Linked DNA regions of Canis lupus familiaris. The protein of the gene in region 1 purifies or fractionates together with the protein of each later gene. This does not show direct contact. Links are inferred from orthologs where the notes say so. Each region holds a gene or a part of one and is shown in the gene's direction. Other genes may lie near its edges.

Region 1 (6,048 bases):
GTAAAACTCACATATTCCTTAATTTGGAATTGTATTTAATTGAACATAATTCATTTTTGAGGGCCGTTATGAAATTTAATCTCAGAGGTTTGATAATTAAGCAAACTTCTCAACTTCCTTTTTATAGGATGGATTGAAAATATTGTTACTATGTAGCTAGAATAAACCTTGGTCTGATTACCAAATCCAACTTTTGAATGAAAATTTTGAGGTTAATTGCATTGTAATTAAAAATTGAATTTAGTCCAAAAATTATTCAGCTTGATTTACTTTTGATGAAAGAAGTAAAAACATTTCATGTATGCATTTAGTAGTATTATTTATGTGGGTCTTTTTCTCTTCCTAGATAAGATATTATTATGTACATTGATAGGAAATGAAGGCTTTAAATTTGAGGTCATTGTATTTAAGAAGTGTGGCTATTGATCAAATATTTTATCCATTTAGGTATAAATTTTGGGTAGTTGATTCAGTTTTTGTCACAATCAGGGACACACTGTGTAATGTAATATAATGTAGAGCTATCTCTGGGTGGTTTTGATTCCATGTACTCTTTAACTGAATTTTTCTTTCATATCCACAATTTGCCCTCCCCTGCCCCCCCCCGCCGAGATTAAAGGTGACTTACAAGTGAGAAACTGAACTGAAGGGTCAGAAAAATACTGAGAATGCCTCTAACCCTTATACCTTAAACTCATGGATGTAGCTTCTTAATTAATACCATTTATTATATAAATTAGGCTCAGTCATATCTTACTGTAGTTACCTAAAGGGCCACATATGGAATTAATCATACTCACATAATGTTAAACTTGATGTTAGTTACCTGTGTAGGTAAAGGTAAGACTTTACCCCCAATTTCCTCACTAGAGAAACAGTGTCTACTCCATCTAGGCCCCTTCTGCGTTTCATAGAAGTCATTCAGAGTTCAGCATTGTTTCTGTGAGGAAAATATTGTAGAATTGATATAGTGTACTAAATAGTTCTATTTTTTTTTATAGGTAATGTGGACTGAACTGCCATGCAAAAATTTCCATCTTCTTCTCTGTTGTGCTATTCTCGAATCCGAAAAGCAGCAAATAATGGAAAAGCATTATGGGTTTAATGAAATACTAAAGGTAGTTATTTCTTTAATTTAAATTTGAGTATTTTGGCTCTTTCGTCTGTTTGATGGTACTGATATACAGAACATTTTCTTGGAGCTTTATTGATTGAATCCCTTGAGTAAAACTTAAATTATATCAATAACACCTAATATTAGGACTGGCTCTCTGAGAATGACAGTTCAATGAATACATACTGGCCAGTTATTTTTACCTGGGTAATTAGGAAGAAAAGGAAATTCAGCAAATTCTCTTCTGTGTAGTTTAGTTTTCTAAAAAAAAAAAATAATTGTCTTTTGCTTATAACTTTGAGATAGTAGACTTGGGACAGCTGCTAGATTTAATGTCCCATAAGTTTATTAGCTATTCTTTAACTTTAAAACTGAAAGATAGATTGAATTTCCTGCTGATTTGTAGTATGAATACTTTTATTTTAAGGATTTTATCTGCAATGAAATATATCTGGTAATAAATTGTTTATATAGTAGAATATAATAGTGCTTTTAGTTTCAATTATCATTTTATTTTATGGATTCATTTTAGCATATCAATGAATTGTCCATGAAAATTGATGTGGAAGATGTACTATGCAAGGCAGAAGCAATTTCTCTACAGATGGTAAAATGCAAGGTATGGTGCAGTGTTTTAAATAATTGTAAGATTTTTTGTTTGTTTTTGGTGGACTGAGGTCAAGAAAGAATTTTTCTTCATAGAAGTATAATAAATGGCAATTTTAGTAAGCTGAAGCAGACAACAAGCATTAGTTAGCATTTTGTTTACCATTATTGATTTATAGCACTTAATTGAAAATAGTCGATTAATTATGCTAGATAAGAAATAGTATAGCAAAATGGCAAACATAATGAAACCGTTTCAGCAACAACTAAAGAGGCTGTATTATTCAGTCTGACTACAGACTGGAACCTCTTATTAAATGATATCCCCAAATAAAGACAGATGCTAATCAGAAATAATTAAGCAAATGGTATTTAGAGTGTCTTTACAATTGTACTAGCCAAGTTCTTAGTCTTTCTAAAAAAAATTATGACCTAAATTGTTCTCTTTGAGGTATTTTGGCTTTTGCACTTTTATGAGAGTTCTGTTTGGTCTTTGTGTCATTTGTTCATGGTTCCAAATACTTACTTTGGTTCACTTCTGCAAACATTTATTTGGTAGCTGTTCTGTTCAAAATATGCCAGTGAGACACTTCTTTAAGGAACCTTGTACATTGAGGGAGCAAATTGGAGTATAAATAAGCTCTCGTTTAATATCTAAGATTCGGGGATCCCTGGGTGGCGCAGCGGTTTGGCGCCTGCCTTTGGCCCAGGGCGCGATCCTGGAGACTCGGGATCGAATCCCACATCAGGCTCCTGGTGCATGGAGCCTGCTTCTCCCTCTGCCTGTGTCTCTGCGCCTCTCTCTCTCTCTCTCTCTCTCTCTCTCTGTGACTATCATAAATAAATAAATTAATTAATTAAAAAAAAATAATATCTAAGATTCTATAATAGCAATGAAATAAATACTAACTGTTAAAAAACTTAACATTTGTGAGTGGTAGGGTGGGGTGGAGAGTGACTAATTTGGGTAAGAAGATTAGGGAACTTATGAAAAAAAGTGGTTAGGATTTCATTTGGAGTGGATAAGGAAGGTGTGAAAAGATACATAACTATCACACTGTTAGAATAAATGTTCAGATTCTGGAATCTACATATCTTGAGTAGAAGTGTTATTTTGTGAATACTTTTCCTCTATAGGAATTGCCACAAGCAGTTTGTGAGATCCTGGGACTTCAGGACAGTGAAGTGACAACACCAGATTCAGACACTGGTGAAGATGAAAACATTGGCATGACTCGTTGTCCTACGTCTACATTTCAGAGTGACTCCTTGCCCGTACTTGCCACTAGTGGAGCCAGAGATGACAGCCCAACACAGATAGCAATGTCCCCAAATGTTAGCAGATTAACACCTGCATGATCATTCTTCTTGCTTAATTTTTGAAGAGACACTTTGTTGCAGCCTTTTGCAAGTACTTGAAAGGTGGAAATTTAAAATCTTGGTATTGATCATGCTTTAAGGTTTATGGAAAGAAAGTGTACTGATGTTCTTGCATTAAAGCTTTACAAAGATTTAAACTAATTATTTTTGTAGTTACTTCTACCAAATAGCCTTTCCTTTTCAATAACATTCCTTAGTATTTTTATAGCCAAGTACATTTTATTTTCTTGCTGATGAACTGGAATTGGATAAATATTACAAGTGGATGAGTTGGAAATTATGCACTTTGAAAAACATTCACTTTGTTTACTCTAAGTTTAGTGGGTTTTGGATTTGATTAAATTAAATGTTGGGCCTTTCTATAGCATTCTAAGCTGAGAAGTAGATTGTGTTACCCAAGTGATGAAATAAAAGAATTTGTTTTTCTCTATTGTTTACAACAATACTCAGCTTAAATATTTATGCTGGTTGAATGTGACTTAAATTGGATATTTTCATCAATGCAATTTAATGTGTAGATAAAAAGAGCTATTTCAACCATAATAAGTGGATTGGCAGTATATTTTTTACATTGAAGTTTTCTTCACTTGTATATAAAAACTATATAAGTACTTATTTATGAGTATAAAAAGGATAGGCATATTTTCTTTAACTGAATAAACTTGACTATTGATTTATATGATCTGATTTGACAAAAGTAATACATAGCTTCAGTATGAGATCTTTTTCAAAACTATTTTCTTAACCAAACATTTATTTCATGAGACTACATTCAACCCTGTACCTGGTGTAATTTTAAAATTAATTGCTTGTAACCTCATTTTACTAATAATGTGTTTATTATCTTTCCTAATAATGCATTAACTGATTAATCAGGTCTTTAAATTTTTATAAAATGCTCTTTGCAAAAAGCTTGTGTCAAAAATTTCAATATACTATCACGAGTCTCAAAATAATACTTTTTTGTATATGAATGAAGCTGTTGTTTTTACCATGCAGTGTTGCATGATTTTAAGTTATGTGAAATTAACATAACTGATTCCGTTTTATTTGTAATTTGTTAACTCTTGTACATATCATTAAAATAAACTTGAAGTTGAAGTAGTGTTTTCAGTTAAATTACACTTTAGAAGTAGTCTGCTAGTTCTGCATTGGAAGGAAAAGAATCCAAGTTGGCCCCCAGCACATTTTCTATTTTTTTGTGATTGAAACAATCATTGGAATGAGTTATGGACGTGAGGAAGAAATACGACCCCTTTTATAACCAAAAACAAATTTTCATCAGCATGGACTTGAGCATAGTGTTGTCTTGGAGGATGTAATTGTCTGACCCAGGAAAGCAACTCCTACAATTGATGTTAATAATGTAAAATAAAAGTTAGGCATTTCTGAAGTGGTCCAGGAGATAGATTTTTTTCCCTCCAGAAGACGGAACCAAATGAACTTTTTTCCTACTTGAGTATTAACTGACAATCATGACAGTAGAACCATTAGATTTTAGTTTTTAATATCATATGTGTGTTATCTTTCATCAGTTAATAATGAGTAAGCCTATTTAGACAAAAAAAGTAAACGGATCAGACACTCGGCGTCTCCAGCCTTTCATTTCCTGCTGTTCAGGAAATTGCTTAGAACATCTTGATGTCCTTCTTGTTCTTCCTGGACAGGGACTTCAGGGGAGTTTTTCTCCCCCCCTCCGCTATGTAATGTCATGTCTACTTCGGAGTTAAAAAAAATCTGAACACATTTAGTAACTTGAACTTTTGTCAAGTTTTATTATACAACTACTTGTTAAAGCATTTTTACTAAAGAGTCTTTATTTCCATCTTGCTCATTGTTGATGGAGAAATAATAATATAGCACAATGCTGGATAAAGTCTCAGTGAGAATCTACAAAATTGAGTTAGCAGATGCTATATATAAATTTGAGCTATTGAGATTGCTAAAATAGTCCAGGTAAATTGGTTGGTCTAACTTCTTAAAGATTTATTTCAGTTTTCACGAGGTGTTCTGTTCATACCCTGATAACATATAAATTATTATGTGCTCTATTATATGATATTTAATGTTAAAATTTAATTCCTAATTTAACTGTAAGAAGTATTTTCATTTCTAATATGAGAGTCTATGGGAAGGAAGCCTTTTGCATTTAAGAACGTGCCTATTTTGATTGTCCCATGTGCCTAGGATTCTTCATCTCTTTGTAAGTTAAGAACTTTAGTCTTGGTGATGACTAGAGCTTTTCTGAGTGAGGAAAAGAACATTTTGGGAGCATTATGGTGATTCTTGCTGAACCTGCCATTTCCAAGGATTTTTATGGATGCTAAATCTTAACGGGAAATTCATATAATTATGTCCATTATTAAAGGTAGTTTGTATAAAGTAATACAAAATGTTTATTGAAGAACCTAGAAATTTACCTGACTTGTGTATCACCGTGTAACCGGATGACATCCTTCTAGCTTGGATTTCTTTCCTTGGGGGCTTTCAGAAGATGTATGAACCTCTCACTGTACTTGAAGTTTTGTGTGCATATTTCTGGGGACAGGTCATAGTTTCTCAAAAGTTTCTCTAATTTTCTTCATGCATCCAAGGGTTTCTTGAGCCTCTGTGAAGTTAGATTACCACCATTATATGTTATATATCATAGGTTCACAATTTGACTTAAGGTTAGGTAGACAAGTCCCTGAGGTGGTTATTATTTTTTTTTTAATTAAAGATTTTATTTATTCATGAGAGACACACAGAGAGGCAGAGACACAGGCTCCCTGCAGGGAGTCCACGTGGGACTCGATCCCAGGACTCCGGGATCATGACCTGAGCCCAAGGCAGACCTCAACCACTGAGCCACCCAGACATCCCAGACCCTGAGTTTTTAAAAAAGTAGTTTCTTGATTTTCTAAGGTGGATTTACCCTAGTTTGGACCACCATTTTTAGTAAAAAGTGA
Region 2 (6,360 bases), on another chromosome or scaffold:
GTTTATTTTAATTGATGTTTATAAACCAGTCCTTAGCCAGTCCTCTTCTGGGGACACTTTGTTTGCATTTCCTAGCTGTTACATACAATGTTGCAGCTGAGTATTCCCTAAAGCATGGCTTCAGCTCTGCTTAGGTTCTATCAGATTGCTCTCTGGAGAGCTTGTCCCACTTTACTTTCCCTCAGGACTGTGAGCATTTGGAGTTCTCCTCGTCCTCACCAAAACTTGATCCCAGATTTTTCCATTTTTTCCCAATTATTATATTTAACATTACATTTCCCTAAAAACAAGGGAGGGTAAACGTCTTTTTCATGTGTTTGTTGGCCTTTTGAATTTCCTTTTCTGAAATTGCCTTTTCATCCACTTTTTAAGTTGGATTGATTGTCTTTCTCTGAGAAATTTATAGTTCTGTGTTTTGAGTACTACCTTTGTTGGCAGCAAGGATTCTAAGTGTGTTCTCTGGGCTCTTACTTGTCCTTTGGCTTCACTTATGGTAACTTTTAGCATACTATAGCTTTTAAATTATAAAGTAAATAACTGTATGTTTTCTTTTATAGTTTGTGCTATCTGGTCCTTATTTAAAAATTCTTCCCATCTCAGTGTCAAAAAGATGTGCCTTCTGTATTTTGTGTAAAAAGATTTCAAGTACAGTGAATTATTTGTTTCCTTCATCTGTTGGGAATTTACAGATGATGTTGGGAAGGGGGGATGTTTTATCTTTATCCTGATGTAGAGCTCCCTCTAACTTACCATTTCTGCTGGGTACCACATGCCCTTCTCCTCCGAAGCCTTTCTATGCTCTCTTCTTTAGGTCGATTTGAGTAGCTCCACATAAAGACCACACTATTTTAATTACTCAAACTTTATATCATATCTTGAAATCTGATGAGCCTTATTACGTTTCTTTAAAATTACTTTGGCCATTCTGGATCCTTTGATTTATTTAAAAATCTTTTTATAATGATACACACACACACACACACACACACACACACCCCAAATATTTCATAAACTATAAATGTCGTGAAACCAAACAAGTCACTATAAAGTGAACACACCCATAAAAACCCATACAGGCCAGAGTACTGCCAGCCTCCAAAGCCTCTTGGCACCTCTTGCTCCTGTGACAGCTCTCCCAGGACAGATGGTCATCACCCTCATGCTTTGCTCCTTCGTTTTTGCCCTTGGTATGGATGGATGTGTGGATGGATAGACAGTTGGATAGATAGATCAGATTGATCCATTCACAAAAGTGGAATCATATAATGTATGCATTTTTTGTCTGGCTTCTTCCTTCTCACATTATGTTTTTTAAACTTAAGCTTTAAATATTCCAAATGCATTTTATTTATTTTTTTAAAGATTTTATTTATTTATTCATGAGAGACACACACACACACAGAGAGAGAGAGAGGCAGAGACACAGGCAGAGGGAGAAGCAGGCTGCATGCAGGGAGCCCCATGTGGAACTCGATCCTAGGTCTCCCAGATCACGCCCTGGGCTGAAGGTGTCGCTAAACCGCTGCACCACCAGGGCTGCCCTCCAAATGCATTTTAGTGTTTGTTTGTTTGTTTGTTTGTTGTAACAGTTTGCTGTTCTGTAGATAATTGTTTTTCCTTTCTAGGCAGTCTGTTTTATCTCTGGTAACTTTTAAGGACTTTTTCTTTGTTTCACTACAATGCATCTAGATATAAATTTCATTTTGTTATCCTTTCTGGGACTCTTGCATTTTCAATCTGAGATTTACATTCTTTATTATAAATTCTGGAGAACTCTTAACTATTATCTCTTGAAATACTGTCCTGTTCTCCCCACCTCCCCCCATAGTCTTTTTCTGGAATCTCTATGAGACCTTCACTGAGGGCCTCTCTTCTCTGTCTGGAATCTTATGGGCAGAGCCCTGGGCCTCCCCACTGGGCAGGCTCTGCCCACTTCAAAGCCTCTTTGATTCACACCCTACAGAGCTTTTACCTTCTCCCTGAGAAGGAGAGAGGGTGGATATGGGCTACATTGGGTAGGGGCAGGATTCAGGGTTCCTTCCTGCAGAGTTAAGGAGGACTCTGCTTCCCTCCTGCCTTCACAGTCCTTGGTGCCTCTAATCCATGAGGCTCTCTAAGCTCCAGGAGACCTTGCCAGCATTTAGATTTACCTTTCTTCCCATTAGAAATCACTTCCATTACTCAGCGTGTTTTCCATTTTGTTAGTGTGGTTCAGGATTGTAGATGCCTTCTAGTTTCATTGAGTGTGGAATTTGTTTCCATTTTCTTTGTTGTTCTGTATTGTTTTTGAGAGAAGTGGCATACAAATGATTTGAAACCAAAAGTCCTCTATATCGTCTCTTCTAGCTGTCCCAGTCTGTCTTTTGCTCCTACCACTGCACCAGAACTGTTCTTACAAGGTCATCAGGGCTTCCATTTCACCAAATCCAGTGCTCATTTTCCTCCCTGGCCTGGTTGAACCTGGAGCTGCATGGTTCATAGCTGGCTTTTCCCAGCCTAAAACTGTTCTCTTCACTTCGGTGATACCAAGCCCTCCTAGTTTTTCTCCTCTCCCTTGGCAGCACTTCCAGGTGATATCACTGGCCTCTCCCACTCTGTCCATGCACAGAGAATTGCTGCGTTGAATCTACATCCTCTTCTCCCTTTTGCTGTTTGTCCCATGCCCTTGCCTAATCCCAGGGCTTTAACCACCGTCAGTGCCTGTGAGCCCCGAATCCTTACCTCTGCTATGTTTTCCCTTGAGTTCCAGATGTGTAGACCTGACTGCCCACTTGATATCCCACTGAGATCTCGAATAGATGCTGCCAGGCCCATTGCTGCATCGCATGTGCTGTTTGCACTGGCTGAAAGGTTCTTCCTCTGAGTCTTCAAATCCCTGGCACCCACCCCATTATCCTGAGGAGCTTTGTTCAAATGTCACTTCCTCCAAAGCTTCCCTGACACCTGACCTACAGACGGTCCCTGCTCCAGGCCACTTGTTTTCTTCACAGAACTTGCTTGATGTTTGCTCATTTATTCCCTAATTTTCCATACTGACCACTATTACCTCTGTGAGTAGGGCCTTGTTGATCTTGTCTTCCACTGACCTCTAAATGCCTGCAACAGTGTCCGGGGTATAGTAGATGCTCAGCAAATTCTTGCCTAATTAATTTAAATTGTATTAAGAAAACATTAAAGTGTACTTTTCTCCTATTAGCACATTGTCAAATACATTCTAACTTGGTGAGAATAATTCAACTTCTTATCCTCAAAATCAAATTCACAAAATTCAAGTTGTTAGTTTTTTTTTTTTTACAAAGGAATAGCCATACTTATTTTAACCTAGAAAACCATAGTCTTTAGATGTCTATTACTGTACAAATTACCTTAAAGATGAAAAATAGGCTTATTTGTAAAGAGAATTGTGAATTAGTATTGGCAGGGATTTTATTTTTTTTAAGGATTTTGAAACTAGAAAAATCAGTACTTGAAAAATGTATTAGAACAAAATGTAGATTGTCTAATTTTGTGATAAATTTATTATATGCTGGATCGCATCATTGGCCATTAAAGTTGTTTTCTGCCAGTACCTGTCTCTGATGGCCATCTGCCAATAAAAGTAACCACAGAGTTAGTACACTGTGAAAGTGTTTTTGATAATCAGATCTCGTATGGCTTTAAGAAAATATTGTTTTTTTTAAATATTTTACCAGTTCGTTGAGTGTTAAGTGGTTAGAATTTTGCTGTCTTTTCTAGCTTAATAAAAACAAATTTGTTCACTGACTAAATTTTTGTTGATTTGTACTGCTTCCTATTCTGCAGCTTAGAAGGAGTTTTGATTGTCACCCAGTGCTACTAAAATGAAGAAAAATCACATCTGAAGTATTTTATGGTTATTGATTTCTGTGTTACTATGTTCTTTAATATCATTACATTGAAACAATCCAGTTGGACTTTTCTCCTTTCAGATATCAGGCATCTGCTACAACAGCAAAGTGTTCCAACTCCAGCAGGTGCTCTGCATTCCCAGATGGATGGCAAAGTTCTTTTCTTGGACACTTGAGCCTATCTTCTCATCTCCAGAACCCACCACTGAAGCCAGAATCGGGATGGGAGCCACAGTAGACATCCAGAGACAGCAAAGGATGGAGCTGCTTGACCGGCAGCTGATGCTTTCTCAGTTTGCACAAGTGAGAAGGCAGAGACAGCAGGTAAGCAACAGGCAGAGACAGCAGGTAGCAACAGAATAGTAATTCAAAATGCAGAAATACTCAGTGGTCTCAGTACACTTCGCCTCTGTGACTGTTGGTGTGATTGAGAGTACATTTTACCCCTATGCATTACAAGGTGGATCATTTGACATTTCAAGGTAGGATGGAGGTCTCTGATAGTGGCTTTCTTAGCTGTGTGTGTGTGTGTGTGTGTGTGTGTGTGTGTGTGTTTAAGTTAAAAAAAAACAACAAAAACTGCAGCCGAAAGACTGGTCAAACTGGACATTCTTGTTCCACTTCTATTAAATAAACATGATTTCTTAGAGAAACACCAACCTAGTTAACAAGATATGATATTTATCTGCTCTTATAATCTTGTAAAAGCCACAGTGTCTTCCTGTTAAAATGCTTATTATCATGTGCTCTGGAGTGAAGAGCAGATGTAAAACTTCTCGATGGAGAGAATATGAAGGTAAGAAAGTTTCAGGGGAATAACCAATGAATCAAATCTGTTTTCTTAGCCTTGTCATTGATATCAGGAAATCTTGAGCATTTATCTACAAAAACTGCTGTATTCAAACACTCTAATAGCACACTTGTCTGTCAGGGGTTACTATATGTCAGCCAAAACCTCACACGTGATCTTGCTTTGGCACCCTGTGATACAGCATACTGGGCTCTTCATTTCTCATGTCCATCTTCTTTACCCTCTGGGGTGTGAGAGAGGATACCGTACTCTCTTGCCATCTCCCTATCTCTTGCCCTTATTGAGTGTGAGAAGTAGGTCTGCAGGCCTCACAGTGGTCTGGAAAAGTGGCATCAAGTGTGGCATCCCAGATGTCCCATTGGAGGTATGGGTCCCAGCATTTAGATCTGGATTGGAAGAAGGGGTCCCTTATGAATGGGTTGACTCTACAGGTGAAAAACAGAAGCAGGGATCCCTGGGTGGCGCAGCGGTTTGGCGCCTGCCTTTGGCCCAGGTCGCGATCCTGGAGACCCGGGATTGAATCCCACATCGGGCTCCCTGCATGGAGCCTGCTTCTCCCTCTGCCTGTGTCTCTGCCTCTCTCTCTCTCTCTCTCTGTGACTATCATGAATAAATAAATAAAATCTTAAAAAAAAAAAAAAAAGAAAAACAGAAGCAGAGGGTGTTCCCTACAGATGTATTTGAACTTGAGATGACTCTAGAATGTACAACAAAGATACCTGTGATACAGTTAAATGTGGAGGACAGACCACCCTCTCAGAAAGGTCAGAGCTGGGGGTAGAGATCATGGAGTCAACTTTGTAGGGTTGACTAGGTGCTAGGTGAGTTCTTTAAGAGAATTACATCCAAGATGAACAGAAGCTATAGATGAAGCCTCATATGTAGCAAGAGGAGGAGCTGAATTCTTCAAGGAAATAGAAGGAAGAATGAAAAGTATGAGAACTCAGAATGACCAGCATCCAAAAAATGAAGTAAGGATGAGTAAAAATATTTTTCAGGTAGAAAGGGCAAAGCTGTGAGGGAGAGAAACAAATAAGGTAGGATTCTGAGGTTTCTGGCTTAATAATGGGATAGATTGATGATAGCACCGTCTCACCAATATCGAAAGAGTAGATTGGCGGGAGAAATATATTGACTGGGGTACTTTTGGAATACCTGGGAATCCCATCAGATGGCTACAGATCTCATGCTCATGAGCAAGCCAGAGAAGTTGAATCGCTCAGCTTAGCATCCCCAGACCCAGTTTTATGCATGAAGTTTCTCAGGGAATGCTGTCAGGATTGGTATCTTTTGGAGGAGTGATGGTCAAGGACACAGGGAGGCTGAACAACAGTTATGAAGAGGGTCTGAGCCAGCCTTACAGAGAGCTGTGGAGATAAGGAGAGCCCTTCCAGATTGCACCAGATTTGGCCAAGGAGCTGAAACTGGCAACCTCCACCAGCTGGTCACTGGGAGCGATTGCAGGTCTTGGACCGACCGGCTCTCCTTAGGTGCATACTATCCACAGAATGGGTGTCCCTGCCAACAATCCCCGCAGCAGGAAGACCAAGCACTTCAGTCCTGGGGAGGTAGGGGATCTGGGCAGCAGACCAAAGCATCCACCTGTTGGTGCTGCTTGCATCTCTTATTTGACATAAATTCTTGGAGCAGCTCCTCCAAGACTCTAATGACAGTCCTTCCCCA
Region 3 (6,360 bases), on another chromosome or scaffold:
TTTCATTTAACAATCTGTGTTTGGCATAATGATTTACTTTCCAATTTGGATTGTGTTCCCCTGTTCATTTGTCAGTCCATACGCTGTCAGTAACATTAGGAGAAATGGCACAACCAACTTTCATAGTAATTGTAATAACAGAAGAATTGCTAGATTTCAAACAATGATAGTTGATTTCCCTTGAGTAATCTAATCATAATGGGAAACATTAATTCACTATAATATATATTTTTAATTCACTAGATTTTAACCCTAGTTTCTCATAAACCATTTGGCTTTAATTCTGCTTCCAGATCATTAACCTTTGAACGAAACCTCACTATAAAGGTTAAATTTTGTTGTTTCTAAAAATAAGCAAAATTGGCTTTTAATCTATGATTTAGTTGTTTTGTGATTTTTTTATTATAAAACTTATTAGAAGTACTAACAACACAGCATTGCACTGGTTTGGATATGAATCAGATACCTACTTGAATGGAAATATTTTCTAACATGGCTTTCCTGTGGAGGATAGGTGCTGCTGCAAAACCACCATTTCTATGTCCTATGATGCCTGCATAACTCCCAAGACAGTTATGATAATGTTAACCATAAGAAAGGGTTTCCTGACAGTTATTTTTTAATAAAAGAAAAAAATGACGACTACTTTTTTTTAAATGTCTTTTATTTTATTTTTTTTAATATTCTATTTATTTATTCATTAGAAACACAGAGAGAGAGAGAGAGGCAGAGACACAGGCAGAGGGAGAAGCAGGCTCCGTGCAGGGAGCCCGACATGGGACTTGATCCCCGGTCTTCAGGATCACGCCCTGAGCTGAAGGCGGCGCTAAACTGCTGAGCCACCGGGGCTGCCCTTTATTTTTATTTATTTATTTATTTATTTATTTATTTATTTATTTATTTATTTATTTATTTGTTTGTTTTTTAATTTTTATTTATTTATGTATGATAGTCACAGAGAGAGAGAGAGGGGCAAAGACACAGGCAGAGGGAGAAGCAGGCTCCATGCGCAGGGAGCCCAATGTGGGATTCGATCCCGGGTCTCCAGGATCGCGCCCTGGGCCAAAGGCAGGCGCTAAACCGCTGCGCCACCCAGGGATCCCCGGGGCTGCCCTTTAAATGTCTTTTAATATTAACTAGCCATTTGCAAGCTCTTTTTAGCTATTTAACTGTTGACTCAAGGAGAAATGATGGGGGAAACTCAGTACATAATGCAGATAGAGCAGGAGCTCTATCCCAGCTCCTAGGACCAACTCCAGGCTGGAATGATAGAGTAACTTGGGAAACTGTTTCCTTCCAGTCCAGTGTTTTTCTTGTCTCTAGACTGGGATGGCACAGGATCTTCTTGGTTTGGTAGATGAATTTTTGAAGCCCACGTGCAGCCTTGATACCATCTGGACAGACAGAAGCATGTAGTTTCTGTTGTCCTCTCTGGAGGGCTTTGTCACTGATCTCCATCAGTAGGAAGATGTTCTTCCATTTCAGAAGGCATTTTTATATTCAGAGTGAATTTTATGTGGATCTTTATGTTGGCCTACTACTCTCAGAGCTAAATGCCTACAAACCCCCCACACAAACTGTTTAGAATTATGGACGTTTCACAAGAGTAGCAATTTTGGAATTGCAAGAGCAGTGCACTGGAATTCTTTTTTTTATCATTTTTTAAAAAGATTTTATTTATTTATTCATGACAGACATGGAGAGAGAGAGAGAGAGAGAGGCAGAGACACAGGCAGAGGGAGAAGCAGGCTCCGTGTAGGGAGCCCAACACAGGACTTGATCCCAGGTCCCCAGGATCACACCCAGGGCCGAGGGCAGTGCTAAACCACTGGGCCACCAGGGCTGCCCTATGCACTGGAATTCTTATTTGAACATTTTTACTCCTTAGGTAGTTGCTGTTGCTCTCCGATGTCCAAGCGGGAATGTCCTGAGAAGAAGATTTTTGAAGTCTTGCAGTTCACAGGTGAGGAAATCCCTATTTTGAGAAATTCTTTTGTTGAATTTGACAGTAATTTACTCTCATGCAGTGGGGGAGGTATTACCACTTTCTTGTCTGGTACTCCCTTCAGGTGAGGGTAGAGGGGATTATATGTACTCTGTGTTGCAGAAATTTGATAATTCGGCATGCTGGATCTTTCTGAATTGTGATTGCAACACTTCTTTTTTTTCAGTTCTTTTCCTATTTTTTGTTTTTGTTATTAATTACTTTTTCACAGCTTGGTAGATATGATGCTTTCAAATCCAGGCACCTGTGGTGCTTAGTCAGTAGAGCGTCTGCCTTCCACTCAGGTCATGATCCCAGGGATTGAGCTCTGCATCAGACTCCCTGCTCAGTGGGAAGCCTGCTTCTCCCTCTGCTACCCTCTTGCTATCTCTGTCTCCCTCTCAAATAAATAAAATCTTTAAAAAGACAAGATGCTTTCAAATCTCTATGTAATTTTTAGATCATTCTTTAGGGGTCTTTTTTTCTCTTAAAATCAATGCTGTATTCATTAGCCATATTCTGGAAAATCTAGAAAAATAGAAAATAGAAAAAAGACTTGATCTGCTGTTTGACACCAAGGCAGATTGCTAATATTTTGGCATATTTCTACTTTTAAGCACACTTAAGTTTGCATTTTATTAGAAATATGTCTAAACACTCCAAAAAAAGAAAAAAGTATGTCTAAACAGTTTTCTGTCCTGATTGTTGGATTTAGCCATCTATGAAGAGCATGCTGAGAACTATAATGGAAAATATTGAAGGATTTGACTACATAGAAATATAAAATTCTTTTTTTTTTTTTTTAAGATTAAATCTGGGGGAAAAAAAGGATTTTATTTATCTGGAACATCTGGGTGGCTCAGCAGTTTAGAGCCTATCCTGCCTTCGGCCCAGGGCATGATCCTGGGGTCCTGGGATCGAGTCCCACATCGGGCTCCCTGCATGGAGCCTGCTTCTCCCTCTGTGTCTCTGCCTCTCTCTCTGAGTCTCTCATGAATAAATAAATAAAATTTGGGGGATCCCTGGCTGGTTCAGTGGTTTGGTGCCTGCCTTCGGCCCAGGGCGTGATCCTGGAGTCCCGGGATCGAGTCCCACATCAGGCTCCCTGCATGGAGCCTGCTTCTTCCTCTGCCTGTGTCTCTGCCTCTCTCTCTCTCTCTCTCTCTCTCTCTCTGTGTCCCTCATGAATAAATAAATAAAATCTTTTAAAAAATAAAAAATAAAGATTTTATTTATCTGAGAGAGACAGAGATAGCAACAGAGATAGCGAGAGAGAGCATGAGCCAGGGAGGAGAGAGAGAAGTAGGCTCCCCACTGAGCAGGGAGCCCAACATGGGACTGGATCCCAGGACCCCAGGATCATGATCGGAGCTGAAGGCAGATGCTCAACCAACTGAGCCACCCAAGTGCCCTGAAATGTAAAATTCTATAAAGGAAAGGTTAAGGGGCGCCTGGGTCACTCAGTTGGTTGAACATCTGCCTTTGGCTCTGGGATCAAGCCCCACATCAGGCCCCCTGCCCAGGGGAGAGTCTGCTTCCCCCTCTTCCTTTGCCCCTCCCTACCACTTGTGATTTCTCTCTCAAATAAATAAAATCTTGTTTTAAAAAAAGAGAGAAAGTTCATAAAACTAAAACTTCAGAAAAAAATATTTTACATCTATATATGATAGTCATTTCTTTATGATGAGGTATTGTACAAATCAAGGAAATTAGTAGAATGGCAGCTAAAAAAAAAATGAAGGATTTCCTAAAGAAAAAAACAAGTGACATAAAAAATTTTGGCCTTACTTAGAATCAAAGATGTGCAAACTGAAATGGGACACAATTTTCTACCTATTAGATTGTTGTAGATTAAAAAGATGAGTACGCAGTTTTGGCCTGTGTGTGGAGAAAACAGTGATTCTCCTTAATTGTTCATGTGAATATAAATTGGGCCTCTGTTCCTAAGGATAATTAATCTTTATATCTTTTGGTTCATTAATTTTTTTTAAAGATTTTATTTATTTGAGAGAGAGAGCCAGAGAAGACAAGCAGGGTGGGGAAGGGCAGAGGGAAGAGAAGCAGGTACCCCGCTGAGCAAAGAGCCTGATGTAGGGCTCTATCCCAAGACTGTGGGATCCTGACCTGAGCTGAAGGCAGGCACTTAACTGAATGAGCCACTCAGGTGCTCCCATTAATTTCATTATGAGAATCTATTCTATGGAAATAAGTGAAATGATCAAAGGTGTGTGTTTATATAGGGATTGGTTGAATTAAGGCATATCCAAATATTGGAAAATTACGAAGCTTTATGACCTAGATGTATATTTTTTTATTTTTTTAGATGTATGTTTATTACATGGAATATCAGTAGATTCTTGGATGGTGGTTACCCGGAGAAGTCAGAGATTATCTATAATTGAGTATCTGTAATTGATACTCTAGCTTCCCCCAAGAACATTCTAGGATCCAGCTTTCTTCCGAAAGCAGCAAACAGCCGTTTGGCAGACACTTTTAGACAGTAGTACCTGGAAGTTTTGACAGTTACTGTGGAAATCTTCATAACAGGAAATGTCTTCAATTTATAGGAATAGCCCATTGAAAATGGGGATCATAAGGCAGAGTCACTGGGGCCTGGACAGGTCTCTGGTGACAAAGTTCCTGAGTCATTTTGATGTGGACTATTGGCTTAGATTTTGTTCTAAATAACTTTTTCCAAGCTTACTTTTTGTTCTCAACTTTTAAATTGAATAACCTTTTTATTCTCTATGGTTGGGTCTTTCCTAAGTGTTAAATGTCCCTGCTGTCAATCAGTGCCTTTAGTCCCTAGGCCTTCTCTGAAACTTTGGAAAGGTATTTAAGGTATTTGCATCAGGGGTGCCTGGGTGGCTCAGTCAGTTAAGCATCTGCCTTCCACTAGGTCATGATCTCAGGGTCCTGGGATTAAACCTGAAATCGGGTTCCCTGCTCAGTGGAGAGTCTGTTTTTCCCTCTCCCTCTGCCCCTCCCTGCTGCTCATGCTTTCTCTCACACTCTCACTTTCTCTCTCAAATACATAAAATCTTTAGAAAGACAAAACAAAAAAGGTATTTGCATTTCACGATTCTTGGCATGCTACTTTCCTTTATACTCTAGAAGGTTCTGTTTCATTACTCTAGGGGTAATCATGCTGTTACCCCTAGGATTTAACAGTGAATGAATTATAAAATATCATTGGTGACCTCGAGGGACACAACTGTACTCCGTATTTGATAGCTAAACTTTTTATCTTCTAGGTCTTATTTGACTGGATGAAGAAAATCGGGTACCACACATCCCAATACAGCCTTTCTACTTCCTTTCCCAGACGGCCTCTGGAAGTGGGGGGAGGCTGGTCACTGCAGGACATAGGAATAACCGTGGATACTGTACTCAACGTGGAAGAGAGAGAGCAGAGCAGCTAATTCAGAAATGAGAACTACCTGTTCTACATAAAATCAGTTATGCCATGACCTTACAGGACAATAAAGGATTCACATTGAAATTACGCCATTGGCTTGATTCAGCTCAAGTAGATAAACACTGTAATGTTGATATCCTTGGGAACATAGGGACAGAGGATTAGAAAAGGATTACTCTATATACATAATAGTTTTTGGAATGTGCCATTTTACAGTGTACCAAATGAAAACTAGATAAAGATGTATTTGGTAAGCACTCAAAGATTTGTATTTTTCCTAGCCGACATCATCTATCGCTGTGTTGAAAAACAAAGTCATATGACTCGGTTTGCTGCCTCTTTGGTCCACCTGTCACACTGAACATTTCATAATTCAGTCAAATTCTCTAATGCCTGTTAAGTAGGAATGTTTGTTCTGCTGTATTTCTAGAAATTAAACCTTAAAGACATTTCAAAGGTCTTTAATGCTCTAAAGTTCTTTTCGATAATCTGATAAAGGGTTAGTATCCAAAATATGTAAAGAACTTACACAACTCAATACCCCAAACCCCCCAAATAATCCAATTAAAAATGGGCAGAAGACATGAACAGACATTTCTCCAAAGAAGACATCCTGATGGCCAATAAACACATGCAAAGCTGCTCACCATCACTCATCATCAGGGAAATACAAATCAAAACTACAATGAGATATCACCTCATACCTGTCAGAATGTCTAGAACCAAAAACACAACAACAGGTGTTGGCAAGAATGTGGAGAGGAGCCCTCTTGCACTCTTGGTGTGAATGCAAACTGGTGCAGCCACTGTGGAAAACAGTATGGAAGGAGGTTTCTCAAAACATTAAAAATAGAACTACCCTGTGATCTAGTAATTGCACTATTAGGTATTTACCCAAAGAATACAAGAATACAAAAAAAAAAAAAAAAAAAAGAATACAAGAATACTAATTCAAAGG

What was found.
Region 2: the proteins of TBC1D15 (region 1) and UBAC2 purify together in Homo sapiens (affinity purification with mass spectrometry; 3 studies listed by BioGRID and IntAct, counting the BioPlex papers as one, with this or other methods). This does not show direct contact. The link is inferred for Canis lupus familiaris from reciprocal best matches to the Homo sapiens genes TBC1D15 and UBAC2.
Region 3: the proteins of TBC1D15 (region 1) and UBXN8 purify together in Homo sapiens (affinity purification with mass spectrometry; 3 studies listed by BioGRID and IntAct, counting the BioPlex papers as one, with this or other methods). This does not show direct contact. The link is inferred for Canis lupus familiaris from reciprocal best matches to the Homo sapiens genes TBC1D15 and UBXN8.

Annotation. Positions count from the first base shown.
Region 1 is NC_049231.1:13,792,339-13,798,386, forward strand, and holds the end of TBC1D15 (TBC1 domain family member 15), read left to right. Parts: intron 1-1,001; coding exon 1,002-1,118; intron 1,119-1,646; coding exon 1,647-1,733; intron 1,734-2,857; coding exon 2,858-3,079; 3' UTR 3,080-4,201; downstream 4,202-6,048. UniProt on the Homo sapiens protein: Acts as a GTPase activating protein for RAB7A. Does not act on RAB4, RAB5 or RAB6.
Region 2 is NC_049243.1:49,540,086-49,546,445, forward strand, and holds part of UBAC2 (ubiquitin-associated domain-containing protein 2), read left to right. Parts: intron 1-3,947; coding exon 3,948-4,190; intron 4,191-6,360. UniProt on the Homo sapiens protein: Restricts trafficking of FAF2 from the endoplasmic reticulum to lipid droplets.
Region 3 is NC_049237.1:34,406,445-34,412,804, reverse strand, and holds the end of UBXN8 (UBX domain-containing protein 8), read left to right. Parts: intron 1-1,888; coding exon 1,889-1,963; intron 1,964-5,238; coding exon 5,239-5,406; 3' UTR 5,407-5,862; downstream 5,863-6,360. UniProt on the Homo sapiens protein: Involved in endoplasmic reticulum-associated degradation (ERAD) for misfolded lumenal proteins, possibly by tethering VCP to the endoplasmic reticulum membrane. May play a role in reproduction.